Linked DNA regions of Rattus norvegicus. The protein of the gene in region 2 binds, or shares a complex with, the protein of the main gene of each other region. Links are inferred from orthologs where the notes say so. Each region holds a gene or a part of one and is shown on either strand. Other genes may lie near its edges.

What was found. Proteins that work in one complex are often made in the same cells at the same time.
Region 1: Phf20 (region 2) and Kansl2 share a complex: the UniProt entries of both Homo sapiens proteins name them as parts of the NSL complex. The link is inferred for Rattus norvegicus from reciprocal best matches to the Homo sapiens genes PHF20 and KANSL2.

The regions. Positions count from the first base shown.
Region 1 is NC_086025.1:131,560,414-131,567,770, forward strand, and holds the start of Kansl2 (KAT8 regulatory NSL complex subunit 2), read right to left. Parts: upstream 4,341-7,357; 5' UTR 3,975-4,340; intron 3,765-3,974; 5' UTR 3,757-3,764; coding exon 3,506-3,756; intron 1,565-3,505; coding exon 1,386-1,564; intron 1,100-1,385; coding exon 985-1,099; intron 1-984. UniProt on the Homo sapiens protein: Non-catalytic component of the NSL histone acetyltransferase complex, a multiprotein complex that mediates histone H4 acetylation at 'Lys-5'- and 'Lys-8' (H4K5ac and H4K8ac) at transcription start sites and promotes transcription initiation.
Region 2 is NC_086021.1:165,259,318-165,266,102, reverse strand, and holds part of Phf20 (PHD finger protein 20), read right to left. Parts: intron 5,861-6,785; coding exon 5,696-5,860; intron 5,181-5,695; coding exon 5,002-5,180; intron 2,573-5,001; coding exon 2,473-2,572; intron 863-2,472; coding exon 667-862; intron 1-666. UniProt on the Homo sapiens protein: Methyllysine-binding protein, component of the MOF histone acetyltransferase protein complex.

The sequences.
Region 1 (7,357 bases), on a different chromosome or scaffold from region 2:
AAGATTAACTTTGGGCAGAGACAGGCAGATCCCTGAGTTCCAGGCCAACCTGGTCTATAGAGTGAGATCCACAACAGCCAGAGCCACACAGAGAAACTCTGTCTCAAAAAACCAGTGAGAATTTGTGTGGTGAGTGTGCACCTGCACAATGTTGAGGACAAATTCTGCTAAGATGATTCAAAACCTAACATTAGGGAAGGCAAAGCCTGAGGTTGGTCAGCCTGATTCAAATACCAAGTTCCAGGCCAGTCAGAGCCACATGAGACTGGCTTCAAAAAATCAGAGATTTTGGAACAGGAAATATTTTGATATTTCTAAATTCTTAAGATGACCAAGGGTTAGAGTAGACCTTAACATAATTAAAACTTGGGTTTCGAAATCAGTTTTCCTTTTACTAGGCATGAAACCAAAGCCAACTACTGACTGAACACTGTTATTTCCCATTTAAAGAGTCAGAAATGAGCTGGAGAGATGGCTCAGTGGTTAAAAGAGCACTGACTGTTCTTCCAGAGGTCCTGAGTTCAATTCCCAGCAACCACATGGTGGCTCACAACCATCTGTGATGGGACCTGATGCCCTCTTCTGGTGTGTCTGAAGATAGCTGCAATACATATACATAATTTTAAAAATTCAGAACCATGGAATTTTACAGCACGTATCTAAGTATAATGAGCCCATATTTCTGAGACTTGGGGCAAGTACCTATCTAAATGCATTCTCCTCGATAGCCAGCCAGCACTTGTCTGACTCCCTCTCATTCTTGTGTCAAAAGAAGTGTTCTTCCCTAAAGCATCTCATGGGCACTACCCGGGTGCCAGTGACAAGACCTCTGCAAAATAATCAAGGAATCTTGCCTTAGAGCAAAACGGTGCTGAACTGTGACCCTTAAACCCACCTACATGTATTGGTTAACCACATGCCACACTACACTCTACATACTAACTACATAAAGCATGTAAAAGTCTCATGTGGAATACAACTTACTTTAGGGGATCTTCTTGATCACTGTCTATGCTATCAGCTTCACTGTCAGGGTCACCTCTCCATGTCTGATCCACAGTAATGGGTTCCTGGTCCCCATCACTCCAGCTGTCTTCATCTGAGGCAAGGAAGGGAAGAGCAGCCATTAAGACTTCCCACCTCTGTAACTCCACATATGAAGCTACATTACTTAGAGATCAACCCAAAACCTTAAAATGCAAAGTTTTTAACTGTTTCAATTGTTAACACAAGGAAAGGTCACCAAGCTGGGAGAAATCTATCTAAACAAACTCTAAATGCAAAACAACCAGCAACCAGCACGAGCAGGCCCGGCACTGCCACCCAGCTCCCAAGGCACTGCAGCGAGCCAAATCGGCTCGCTCGTAAGCACCTTCCTTGCTTACCCAGTATCCGGCTCGCCTCGCTTCGGCTACTCTCTGGGGTCTGCGAGCCCAGCTCTGTTTTAGCATATGAGCTCAACTGGCACAAGAGGGTTTCACCCATAGGGCCTGGGTTACTCTTCTTCATTTGAGCATGAAGTGCTAGGGCATTCCTTCGAGCATGTTCAGCACAGAAAGACACCCTAAGGAGACAAAGCATTAATATTTAATAGGCCCTCTCTTGAAAGAACCAGCAATATTCAGTCACCAGTTGATTTTTTTCTTTAGGAAATATGACTTATAGTCACACCTTGAAGAGCAGTATGAAACCCAGGCATGGTGACTCACGCCTTTAATCCCAGCACTTTAGAGGCAGAGGTGGATCTGTGAGTTCAAGGTCAGCCTGGTATACACAGTTCCAGGACAGCCAGGGTTAAATAGACCCTGTTGTGGGGTTGTGGGTCAGGCAGCAATGTGAATCAAAAATATAACTGCCCTCAAGTAAGCCATTTGGGGTCCTTGGTGAGGTGTGGTGGGGGCGTGGCGTGGCGTGGCGTGGCGTGGCGTGGCATGTGTGCTGTTCAGTCAGGCCCAGAGCTCCAGGCAGGGAAAGCTCTAACTCATGCTGCCTCCCTGGCTCATAGTAGCTGCTCTCAAAGGGAGCGACAAGTAGCTTACCCACTGTTCTAGTTATCAAATCCATTCCAGCTATAAAAATGTTAGCAGTATCTCAGAAAATCAGAGCTGCTTGTATTTTTTTCAAAATAAATTCTGCAAACACATATTAATATCAATCCACTATAGACAGACAATTCTAAAGCAAGAAGATCTATAAAAAATTATCTAGTAAAGTCCTATGTTTGCACAGGTAAGTACATATGATAAAAAACTATGAAGCTCCTTCCAAAACACACATACATATAGTGAGTGTGCCTTTTACTTAACAAGGTTTGGCAAGTGAGTCAGCACTCCAACATGAAGTGCCATCAGTTCAGTGACTCAGCAAACAAAAGCACCTACCACCAAGGCCGGACCACCCAAGTTCCATCACCACCCCACACAGCAGGAAAACCAACTCCAGAGGGTTGTCCTCTGACCACACATGTTTGGCAGCACGTGAATCCACGGAATAAATGTTTAAGGAAGAATTTAGATCTGAGTATGGGAATAATCTGAGAACTCCAGAAGCTGAGGCAGGAGAATTAGGGGTTCAAAATTACTCTGACCACAGTGAGAACTCAAATGTTAATTTTACAAGTAAGCAATTAACTAAATGCCCCTTCCTCAGCAGTGCCTCAAGTGTCCTTCAAGTTCTCATCATTGGCGGAGTTGGGTAGGAGGGTTAAGACAGGGTTTTGTTTAGCCCTGTCTATTCTGGAATTCAACCCTGTAGCCTAGGTTTGCCTGAACTCCTAGATCACCCCAAGTCAGCCTCCCAAGCACTAGGATTAAAGGCCTGCACCACCACCGCCTAGCATCAGTTCTGATCATTTTCGTATTTTGACATGCCTCCCAAAGAATGTATCCTTTAATTCCAATTTTACAAACACATGACCTAAAACTTCACAGATATGACCAACATAAAATAACTACACATGTTCCTCTTTTCACTTTAAAACTGAAGGCAGGGGACAGGCATGGTGACGCACCAACATTCTGTAACTCCATCCAGTTCCTGGAGATCCACCGCCCTCTCCTCCTCAAGCATGAACATGGTACAAACATACAAGCAGGCAAAACACCCATACACGGAAAAAAAATTTAAAAACCGTAAAAGGTTGCCAAAACTGTTCCAAGCCAGTCTTGTCCGCATGAGGAGAAGTTCCGGGAATATAGACTGTCTCAAAAGGGAGGTGGGGGCGTCCATGACTCTGCGAGCCGAGCCTAACGTCCTCCTATTCACCATACCAAGAGGCATTAGAACCGACTCCAACAAATCGGCCACTGACCTCCCCACGTGTCCCTGCACACACAAATCAAACTACAAACCGGAGATAAATGCTTCAAACTATAGTAAAAATAGGCTCGGTGATGCAACCTGTGCTTTACGTGAACCAGACCCAGGGTTCAATCCTCAGCATTGAAAATTAAGGAACGACTCTCAGAGCCCCAAGGCACAACATACCCACGCGCTCTACACATACCCATCTTTCTTCTCAGGCTTTGGGGCAGCACTGGGGCACCTCTTCCCATTCTTCGTCGAAATGTAACTACATTGTTTGAAGGGTGCATTCTTGTCTTCAAGAATATGCTTAAGACAAAACTCCTGCCCCTCCAGACGCGGCTGAGAGCATGGGCGGTGAGTGAACGAACAAGAGAGGGGCTCCTGAGATCTGGGCACTGGGGTGATCCTCCCCCGATTCGTTGGCAAGACGTGAATCCGAATCCTGTTCATACCAAAACCTGCGGGTAGGTGGTCACGGGAAAGATCAAAATGGCCTTAACCTTGCCAGAAGTCCTTGTCTACGTGCTCCCGCAGGTCGGCGGGCCGCAGGACGAGGGTTGCACCGTAACTCCCGCCGCCCTCCAACCTTCCGTTACTAACCCACCCACCCCCGCCTTCTCCCTACCCGCCTACCCGCCCGCCCGCCCGCTCGCTTCTCTGGTCCCTACCACGTTGGCCGAGTCTCCACAGTAGCCGACCGGAAGCGCGGCGCCTGTCCCACGCGGCACAACTGCAACGGCGCGCCCCGCCCCCACGCCCCGGCACGCCGCCTTTGTCCCTGGCCGCCTCAGAGCTCACAGCCCCGGCCCAAGCGCCTACGCCGTCGTCCTGCGAGCGCCATCTTGTCCTACGGCTCCCGGCACCAGAGAACCTGGCTCCCGAAAGCCCAACAATCAGAATGACTCTGACGCTGCAGGAGACGACGTACCGCGCTGAGTTGATAGAAAGGGCGAGCAGCAGCCTAACGGCAAAGGAGAAGAGCCCGGCACGGCGCCATCTTACCTCCCCGCCGCGCTGCGCCGCGCAGCTCGCCCTCTGGCTGCTCCGCCTGCACGGAACTCGGCCCTGCGGCTCCTAAGCGCTGATTGGTCGTTGTATTAAGGCTGCTGTACCTTTATTGGTCAGAATCAACACTAGACCCGAGGAGGGCGGGACAGTGAGACTCCGCAACGCGATTGGCTGATGTGAAGTGTCTGTCAGAAACTCGGCCCGTGAGTGGGCGGTGGGAAAGGCGGGCCACAGCTCCTCGCTGGGTTCAGATATTTTTTTCCATCTCTGTACCGTTGGTTTTCTGGTGGCGGTGGTCTCCAGTCTTCCCAAGCAGCTACCTCTTTACCATCCCTACACAGCAGAAAACTGAACGGTGACTGACCGTGTTTTCTGTTTACACATGAAAAGGTTTTGTTAGTTTTCTATTGTGAACAGTTCAGCTCATTTTTTTGGTCCTTTCATGTAAACACTCCAACTCTTCTTTTTCCTGTCTCGAGACTCATATGTACTAATTAATTTTTGCAGAGCAGCCCTAAAAGGTAGACGCTATTTTTCTCTTAGGTAGACATTATTTACGGATATAGTGACGGAAAATCAAATTTGAGAGTAGGACATGCTTCTCTCAAATCCTCTAACTCCCCTGCTGGATAGTGTATTATAGAAACAGCAGGCTATTCCGTTTTCGTGATTTTTTTTTTAAGGTTTATTTATTTAATGTATGTGAGTGAGTACACTGTCACTGTCTTCAGACACACCACACCAGAAGAGGGCATTGGACCCCATTACAGAGCGTTGTGAGCCACCACGTGGTTGCTGGGAATTGAATTCAAGATCTCTAGAAGAGCAGTCAGCACTCCCGACCACTTGAGCCATCTCTCCAACCCTCCTTTTAATGTTTTCAAAGTACTGTACCCCTGAAGTTTGAAGTAGTTGTGCATAGAGGGTCTTTTCCTTTGTGTAATTTGTAAGATCTACCTTATGTAGCATTCACAACTTTTCCACATTATCAAAAAGTGTAACTTTTCTTCAAAATACATGCCAGACATGGTAGTCCATGCCAGTTATGTTTCTCAGAACTCAAGATCTTGATGTAGCAAGAGGATGCAGTTTGAGGCCAGATGGCTACACAGTGAAACTGTCTTGAATAAAAACATACTGTGTACCAAAGGTTCAGCTGTGTCTTGATGCTTGCTTGCCAAGTGAATGGCTTAGCCTACTATATAGCTAAGCTATTTTTAACTCTTCAGGCACTCCTGCAACAGTACAGCATGAATGTTTCCCCTGCCTACAAGCTACTTTACCCACCAGGTTCACTGTTGAATCTCAGGTCTTTCTAGCAGATTCAACATCCATAGCGTATTGTGTGATAGGAACCTAATACTATTACACAAAGGCAGAGTGGGAACGATTTAACAAACAGTTAAAGACTGGTTTAAGGACATGGAACATGCAAAACGACAATCAAGTATTTTATCATTAACGTTTATTGATGGGATGGATAAATACAGATTGAGAAACATCCTTGACAGCAAGATATCAAACTGATAGCCAGACTATAAAATGTATACAATATCCTTCTTTAAATTTTTTTGCGTTTTTAAAGTTTTTTTACAAAGAGCCCTTATGATAATGGTCACTTCCATTGTACTGTCATTCACCTAACAGCAGTAGAGATCCCAGGAGTAGCACCCAAAACTCAGGTGCCCCACAGAGGACAGAAGCAACAGCAGAATAATATGCTGAGCAGTACAAAAAAAAAAAAATCAGACAAAAAAACAAAACCTCACCACACAATTGTACCTGAGTGACATAAACCGGTAAAAGTGTGACTTTGCTTTTTCATTTTTCTCTTCTTTTTGTTCTTTGGTCTGATAAGAAAATGAACAGTTTTGCGTGTGGCAAGTCAGGTAATAAAGATCAGTCTCCAGTTCAGAACCCTAAATCACACCTACAAGGCTGCTGCAGCACTGTTTCCTTTGGGTTCTTAGGCCAGACAGCCCTTCCGCTCTGTAAGTGATTTCACTATGGTCCTCAGCTCCTCACTTCCTTGCGGCATACACTGGCGTCTCCAGATTACCTGATGGCAGACACACTTGCTCTGGCTTCAGTTAACATGCTGTCAAGCATCCCTCTCGACATTCACATGGCAACACAAAACCCATGAGTTTCTCGCCATACAACCAGGAATACGCACTCATAAAGGAAAGAGTAGACACTGATTTTTATTAAACATTCTTTTCCTTCCCCTTTCCATTGCCAAGTTCATACTAACAATCTCAGAATACTAAAACAGAGTCCACCCACTCTGAAACAACTGTGAACTTAGACCACTCCATCAGGTAAGATCACAGTACCATTCTTCTCCAACCTTCCACCCGCTGAGGGGTAAGAAAGAAATGACAGCGTGCTGTTGTGAGAATGCTTCCTAAACATAAAGATTCAAACCTCAACCAACGCCAGGACATTTGAGGACGTATGAGTCACCGAGAGCTCAGTGGAATGGCAGGAAGCTATTTCTCACTATCTGGTGGGTTGCATAGACTGTTTAAATTCTCCCGAACCCAGGAGAATAAAATAGGCATTCCGATCTCAAGATGGTTTAGTTTCTCCCTTTTCCTAGCACGAGTATCAAAATAACTCATAAAAAAAAAAGAAAAAAATCTTTAAAAAAAAATAATTAGTTCCCAAAATAATGGAAACGCATATATTTAGATTCCAACCATACTAGGATAGATAGGACCCCTCCAATTGCCTTTGTCTAGAAGCAAGGTGTGAGAGGTGAATTATGTTGCAAAGGCCTCAGGAACCCCAGCAGTGATGTCACCATGATTTTGTTTCAATACTCAAATCTACTGCTGTTTGCAATTGGAGATACTCAATTTTTCTATCACCACTGGTGAACCTAATAATACAGGAGTATGTAGGATACACTAAACCAAAACACTAAAATCATTTACAAGAAGGAAAAGATGCTGAGTCTCAGATACAAAAATGCAATGATCCATGAATGAGAAAAGTAGACTAATACTTAAGTATTTTCTAAACCAAAAGGCATAACTGG
Region 2 (6,785 bases):
AAGGTTCACATGGCAAATTTGGCATTATGTATATTTTACCACAATTTAAAAACCCTCACTATAAATGTAAAAAAACTCAATGTAAAAACAAACAACAGTACACCCAAAGACAGCACAAAGCAAACTTAAGTGTGTATATTATGCACAGTGGCCAATATCTATAATAATTCCATTTCTCAAGGAAAGGCTAAGACATGGTAAAAGGACAGAACAAATTCCTGCAAACTGTCCTCTGACCTCTGAACCGTGTATCATTTGTGTGCACATGCACGTACACAACTGCTTTAAACAGGAAAACAAGACACCAAATGCATACAGCATGTCCCAATTTACATGTGTTACATGCACTTACCAAATTCAATAAGGTCTTAATATAAGTGAACTTAATTACACGCAAAGTAGTCCTTAATAAAGTCAATTGCTTTACAAAGAAATGCTTATATGTAAACTGACTTTGAGGGGAGTTGGGTGGGGTGAGGGTACTGATAATCAAACTCAGTACCACACAGGCTAGGCAAACACTCTACCCCTAAGCCACAAACTCAGTATGGCAACAGAATTTTTGGTACAGGTCTCAAACTTATCAGTCTTTGTGGTTTCCCACAAACCTGACTGGATTGAGAGCCACAGTGAATTCCTGCCCAAAGCTGCAAGCAGCACACTTACTGCAGGATGCTCATCTTGAGCTGCAAGCCGTGCAGAACTTCAATCACTCTCTGAACATCCCCGAGAAGCTGATGGGTGGCCACAATCTTCTTGGCATTCTGATGGGAGTAGTTCTCTTCTAGAAATGCCAGACCATGCATATGTCCCCGGCTCAGCCACTCCTTGTCATACCAGTACTTGAAGCCAGGCCTCTGACCTACAGTGATAACATTAAAACAGTCAAACACGCCCGAGGGAAGCCTAGGCTGTCCCCTCAGCGGTCCTATCATCCTGAGTTTCCAGAACTGTGTTCTGACTGCTGCATTCATTTGGTTCACATTTACTTGGCCTCCATGAGGTGTTGGCGACAAGGCAGAAACAAGGCATGGTCCCTTCCACTAGCCACAGGTCTGTATTCTTCCTCCTTTCAACCATCTCCTCCCTCCTTCCCATGCTGCTTCTGCCCTTCCCCTCCTTTCTCTAGACAGGCTCTCACACAGCTCAGACAATCCTCAAACTGACCATGTAGCTTAGACTGGCTTTGAACCCACTCCTCCTGCTTCTCCTTGAAGAGTTCTGGAATACAGATGTTTACCGTCATGGCCAGCTGAGTTATTTCTTCAGACTTAAGTCATTTCCTTCCCTCCTCTCTCACAACCTTCCATAGCTTTCGCCTGCTTACAGAAGGCGACCCAAAATCCCTAACTCTATCTATTAAGGCCGACTGAATCCTGCTTTCTTTCCTCTTCTCCTCACTCCACCCTTATCATGAGTTTTAAACACACACACACACACACACACACACACCTCTTCCTTGGCCTCACCTCTTCCCTCTAGTACTACTATCTGAATCAGCACATCCCGAGGCCTCTCCAGGGCATATGCTGCCCGTCTCCTCACACAGGCCTTTTGGTCACCAGCTGGCAACAGAAGGCCTTTTCAGGGTCCCTGGTTACCACCTCATTGCTTTCCCTCCTAGCTTCACCTGTATACCTGTCTTATGTTTATTTAACTTGTTTTCTCTCCCAGGTCCCATTAAAAGGCAGAAGAAATGAACCATCTTACTGATGGCTGTGGTCCCAGAGCCTGACATCATGTGTCAAAGGGACACAGAGCAAGTATAAGGCTCCAAGCCCCTTCCAACAGTACTGCCTGCCCCAGCTAGTCAGGTGACAGGCCCTCCCTTCGCTGGACCCTGCTTCCCATCTGTCAAATAACAGATGACCTGGGTGATTCCTGGGCCCTGCCCATCACAAGCCTCCTTGGAAAGGACAGGAAGCATGAGCTCAGGGACTCGGCAGCACTTCCTGCTCCAAAGGCTCAGGAGACAGCACCCTCCAACCCGATGCATTCACTCGAGTCACTCGTGAGTGCAATGGCAAACACGTGCCCTCGGACATCCCTGCAATGCCACCAACAGAGCCACACACTCATCCTCAGCTCTCAAGGAAGAAACTCTCTCACTACTGAAACTGGAACAAAAGATTGGCAAGGCCCTGAGCAAGAATGACAGGAGAATTCGTGGAGCATTCAACACTGTGGACAGTTTTGATCAGACCTACAAGCTTTGTGCTTCTCGTTAACAACACCATATGTGTTTCCCACTACATTCCAAGACCAGGCCTTCTGCTAGGTAAGCATCTTCACACATATCCCTTACTGCTACGTTCAGAAGGACAGGCCACCACGTGGGCTTGCAACAAAGGTGAGCAGAGTCACCTGGTCATTAGCGAAGATTCTCCGAGAGTACAAGCACGGTGTGTGGAAAGTTGCTGTGCTAAGGAAGAGGTTACATACTGCTCCCAACCCAGCTCCAGAAAGCTCTACCTGGAGGGTCTTGGCAAACGTAGCAGGTGTATTTCTCGGGCACATTTTCTTCCAGTAATCCCATGCAGACCCCGTGCTGCCAGCACTGGCATTCTTCACACTGTGAGAATTAAAGAAGCAACAGAACTTAGAAAGTAGAGCCCACTGACCTGGAGTGTGGGTGAAAGGAAATGGGGGGAGCGCTCCCTTCTGACCTCTACTCAACAAAGCTATGGCTACACAATGACCCAACTAGGCCACCACTGATCACATGGAGGGTGACGCATAACGAACAAATTAAGTTAAGAGTCCTTAGTTCTTCAGTCCCAAGAGCCATTTCAGAAGTGTCCGTATGACTATTGTCTCTGGAACAGAATAGAGCACAATAAAGAGAATCTAGATGGTCAAGTGTGGTGGAATATGTCTATGATCCCAGAACCTGAAAGGCAGAGGCATGAGGATAGGCTCAGCCAGACTCAGTTACACAATGAGACCAGAGCCAGCCTGGAATACTTCAGAACCTGTCTCAAAAACAAAACATGGAGCAAAAATGTAATCAGTTGAATAGTACTGACTTCAGACTGATTGCTGCCATTCCTGCCGCTCAGCCTCATGATCACTTTGTGGGGCTTAATGAAACCTGTTCAAACTCTTAGAATACATTATGTGTTACATGGCACAGTTCCAGGTCTCAGCCCTAGGCCTCAGTTTCCCCAAGTGGAGATGCGATACTGTTCCTGCCCACACCACAGGCTGTCTGTTAGGAATCCATGGGTCATATGCACATCCTCCCACTATGAACTCAGCACAAAGCCTCACACTGAGTTTCTATTATTAACAGATGGTAGCTAAGTCCCTCTGGCCTCCTAGAGCAATCACGCCCTAGTTCTCTGCATTTATTCTTAAAACTTGCTGAAGGTTGCACAGGTGATTAATGGCACATGAGACAGCGTGAACTTAGCCAAGTGCAAGAGTTCCTGCAAAGCCTGCGCTCAACCCCCTCTTTCCTGGTCCTGGGAGACCTGCCAGGGTCAGGAAGCAGAAAGGATCACTACCTTGAAGACACTAACTTTACTTGGGCTTATAAAACATTGTGGCCCCCAAAAATAAGGAAGTTGGTAGCTCTGAAACTAAGCAGGACTCTAAAATTAGTAGACAGAAAATATATGCAGAGAGGAAAGATGAGAGGGAGGGGGCCAGCCCTGCCAGGGAATTAGACTATTACAAAGGCATAAAATAATCACACAGCATTGTTGTGTTCTTCCGCCTCTGCTTCACTGAAAAAGAGAGGATCCAGAAAGAGACCCGAATGTACAGAGAAAGGCAGTAAATCAAGCAACATTTCAAAATGTGAGCACACTGCCAGTAAACTGAAGTCACAGCCCTCACTCCACACCAAAATAAGCATGCATAAGGTGCTTAAAGAACAAAGCGTCTGAAGTTCTAGAAGAAGCCACACAGATCTACACCCAGGAAGCAGAGACAGCATGGTAGCCTGTGCCTGTAACCTCAGCATTTAGGAGACAAAACAGAAAATACAGCATGTTTGAGAAGAAATGGGGCCAAGTGAGACTGGTTAGTTTCATTAGCTTGAATCTAGAATCACGGTGAAGAGTCTCTCATTTAGGGATTGTCTAGATCAGGTTAGTTTATGAGTCTGTTTATTCAGGATTGTTTTGGATAGCGTGAGAGGGAGACCCCCATTATAGGTGGTACCATTCCTGGGCAGGGGATGCTAAACCTTGCCAGAGTAAAGAAGTAAGCTAAGTGTGGCATGCAGGTATGAATTAGTTCCACTCTTCTTCTCGACACTGAGACAGGAGGAGCTGGCTTCATGCCCCTGCCACCACACCATTCTATGTCCATCTAGAACTGTGGGCTACAGTAACTTCTCCCTTAAGTTGCTTTTGTGAGGATATTTTATCATAGCAACAGAAAAGTAACTAAGACAGAGACTCTGCCCTTAAAAAAAAAAAAAAAGGACAAAAGACATAAATGCAACTTCAAATTTAAGTCAACTTCAAATTTTGTTATCATGCATATAAAACAAGGAAAGCAAAAAGCCAAAAAAGCCTGCTCTTCCTAATACATATAGCCTATGCAGAGATGTATGGTAGGTAGGCTGCCAAATCCCTTCATTGGGAACACCTGCTGCCAGCACACATGCATGCTCACATACACACACATACATACACACACACATACATACACACACACCAAATAACAGAGGAAGACAAATTATAAAACCTGACTCCATTTCTTCCCTCAGGACACCAGGGAAATTTATCTCAAAGAGAAGATGAGCCCATAAAGAAGACTGAATTACCACTCTACAGTCTGAGTCCCTGTTGTCCAACTCCTCTCTGTGAGACCACAGGCAAGGCTTTCCCTTTGGCCTCAATGACTTCTCATTCTATAATGGGTTATTTTCAGCAACCTAGAATTCCCAGAAATCTGAACCCAAAAGCAAGCTCAGTCTAATGCTGTGCGAACTGCTCACATGACTCACTCATGTCTTCCTCTAACCTGTGTTCTGGAAACTCTACTTGCCTGAATCATAAAGTCATTTTCCTCCTGCACTCCACAGATGCATCGGACCACCTCAAAGTCATAGCGGTCGTCGCCTTCAAGCTCCTCATCTGGGTTGGTGGTCACATCAACATCTTGACCGTATTCCTCATCACTCCAAAGAAAGCTCTCGGAAGAGGACTCGCTCAAATTATCCTCCTCTGGAAGGAAAGGGAAGCCAACAGTCAGTGCTCTAAACTCACACGTAACATTGTGTTTCATCCCCACTTGTCCAGGGACTTCCATGGGCCTGGAAACAGGACTCAGTTTTCAGCTTTATGCTTATTAGAACAGCTCAACTGATGCATGCTGCCTGACCAGGGCTGAACTAATGTCCCCATTTCCCTAAGGGGACACAAAGGGGCTCCCAGCATCACTGAGCTCATTGTCAGAAAAGTGACTTCTTATGACCCACATATATCATCACCCCAAGGACTCTAAAATGCTTCCTAGCTTTATCCCCAGCCAACCAGGACCTACCTGCCTTATAGGCATTTCTGTCCACAGCCACCTTTAGATTTCTGCACACGGTAGGGAGAGAGGTAGAGGCAACTGCAGGGGATAAGGCTAGACCTTCTCACTGACTACTTCCAATCACTGAGTACTACTCTACAACACACCCATGCTCACATAGCACACACGTTCTAATAGTCCACGAGTGAGAGTGAACTCTTACCACATGCTTTCAATTTCCCTTTGTGGTTTCCAGTATCTGAACCATGGAGCTGCGGGCTCATATGGACCGCAGGCTTGTGTGAGGACCCGCACCTGGTGACAGCAAACGTTTTGGGTGGAGAAGGTTCCTGGGAGGTATCACTGATGTCCTCACTGCAGGGACATTCTACAAGAACAGCATCAGGCACAAATGAGCAACCCAGGTACCATCAGACATCCCAGAAGCAACCCCATCCAATCACAGCCTTTGAGTTCAAAGAGTTGAAAGGTCTAGGTACATCACACCACAGAGGGGGTGAAGGGCAGTCACCTCTGAGAACATGTCCTCCCCAATCCCACCCCTTTCCTTTTCTGGTAAATAGATTTCATAAGCCGGAAGGGACACAGAGAATGAAACATGGCATCTCTTTAGCTCCCATGGTTACAGCAGAGATTTTTCGCAGCCTAGAATTCCCAGAAATCTAAACCCAAAAGCGAGCTGCACACACTGGCTGATCACATGACTCATTCGCTGCCCACCTCACAGTTTTCAACAACTGAAGGTTTTCTTGAGAGTTGGGTATTTAACAGTTAGACAAGTACACCTCGAGAATCACACATGCATGTAACCTCAGTGCTCAGGATGCTCAAGGACTGAGAGCTTGAGAACAATCTGAGACAGGAAGAAAGACCATGTCTCAGAAACATCAGAGGGGGAGAAGTTACGTAAGCAAAACACTATTCCTGTGCATATCCATATACTTCCCTGTGACAGGACATACTGGTGGCCAATGCCACAAGCGGGGAGGCATTGATAAAGGCCAGTCAAACTTTCTGACACCTGGTTGAGGGGGCCAGCAAGATGGCTCAATGGGAAAATATTCTTGCCATACAAGTCTGGTGACCTGAGTTAAATCTCTGGAACCCACAGTGGGAAGAGAATTAGTTCCTGAAAGCTGTCCTCGCACCTCCACACATGCACTGTACATGTGGACACCTTCACTTACACACATCAGAAAGTGCATGTGATAACAGTAAATAAACTAAGTCTCTGTAAGAGTTGGTGGCATGGTCAGCCTCAACCCATATCCTCTTCCAGGACCCATGCTACG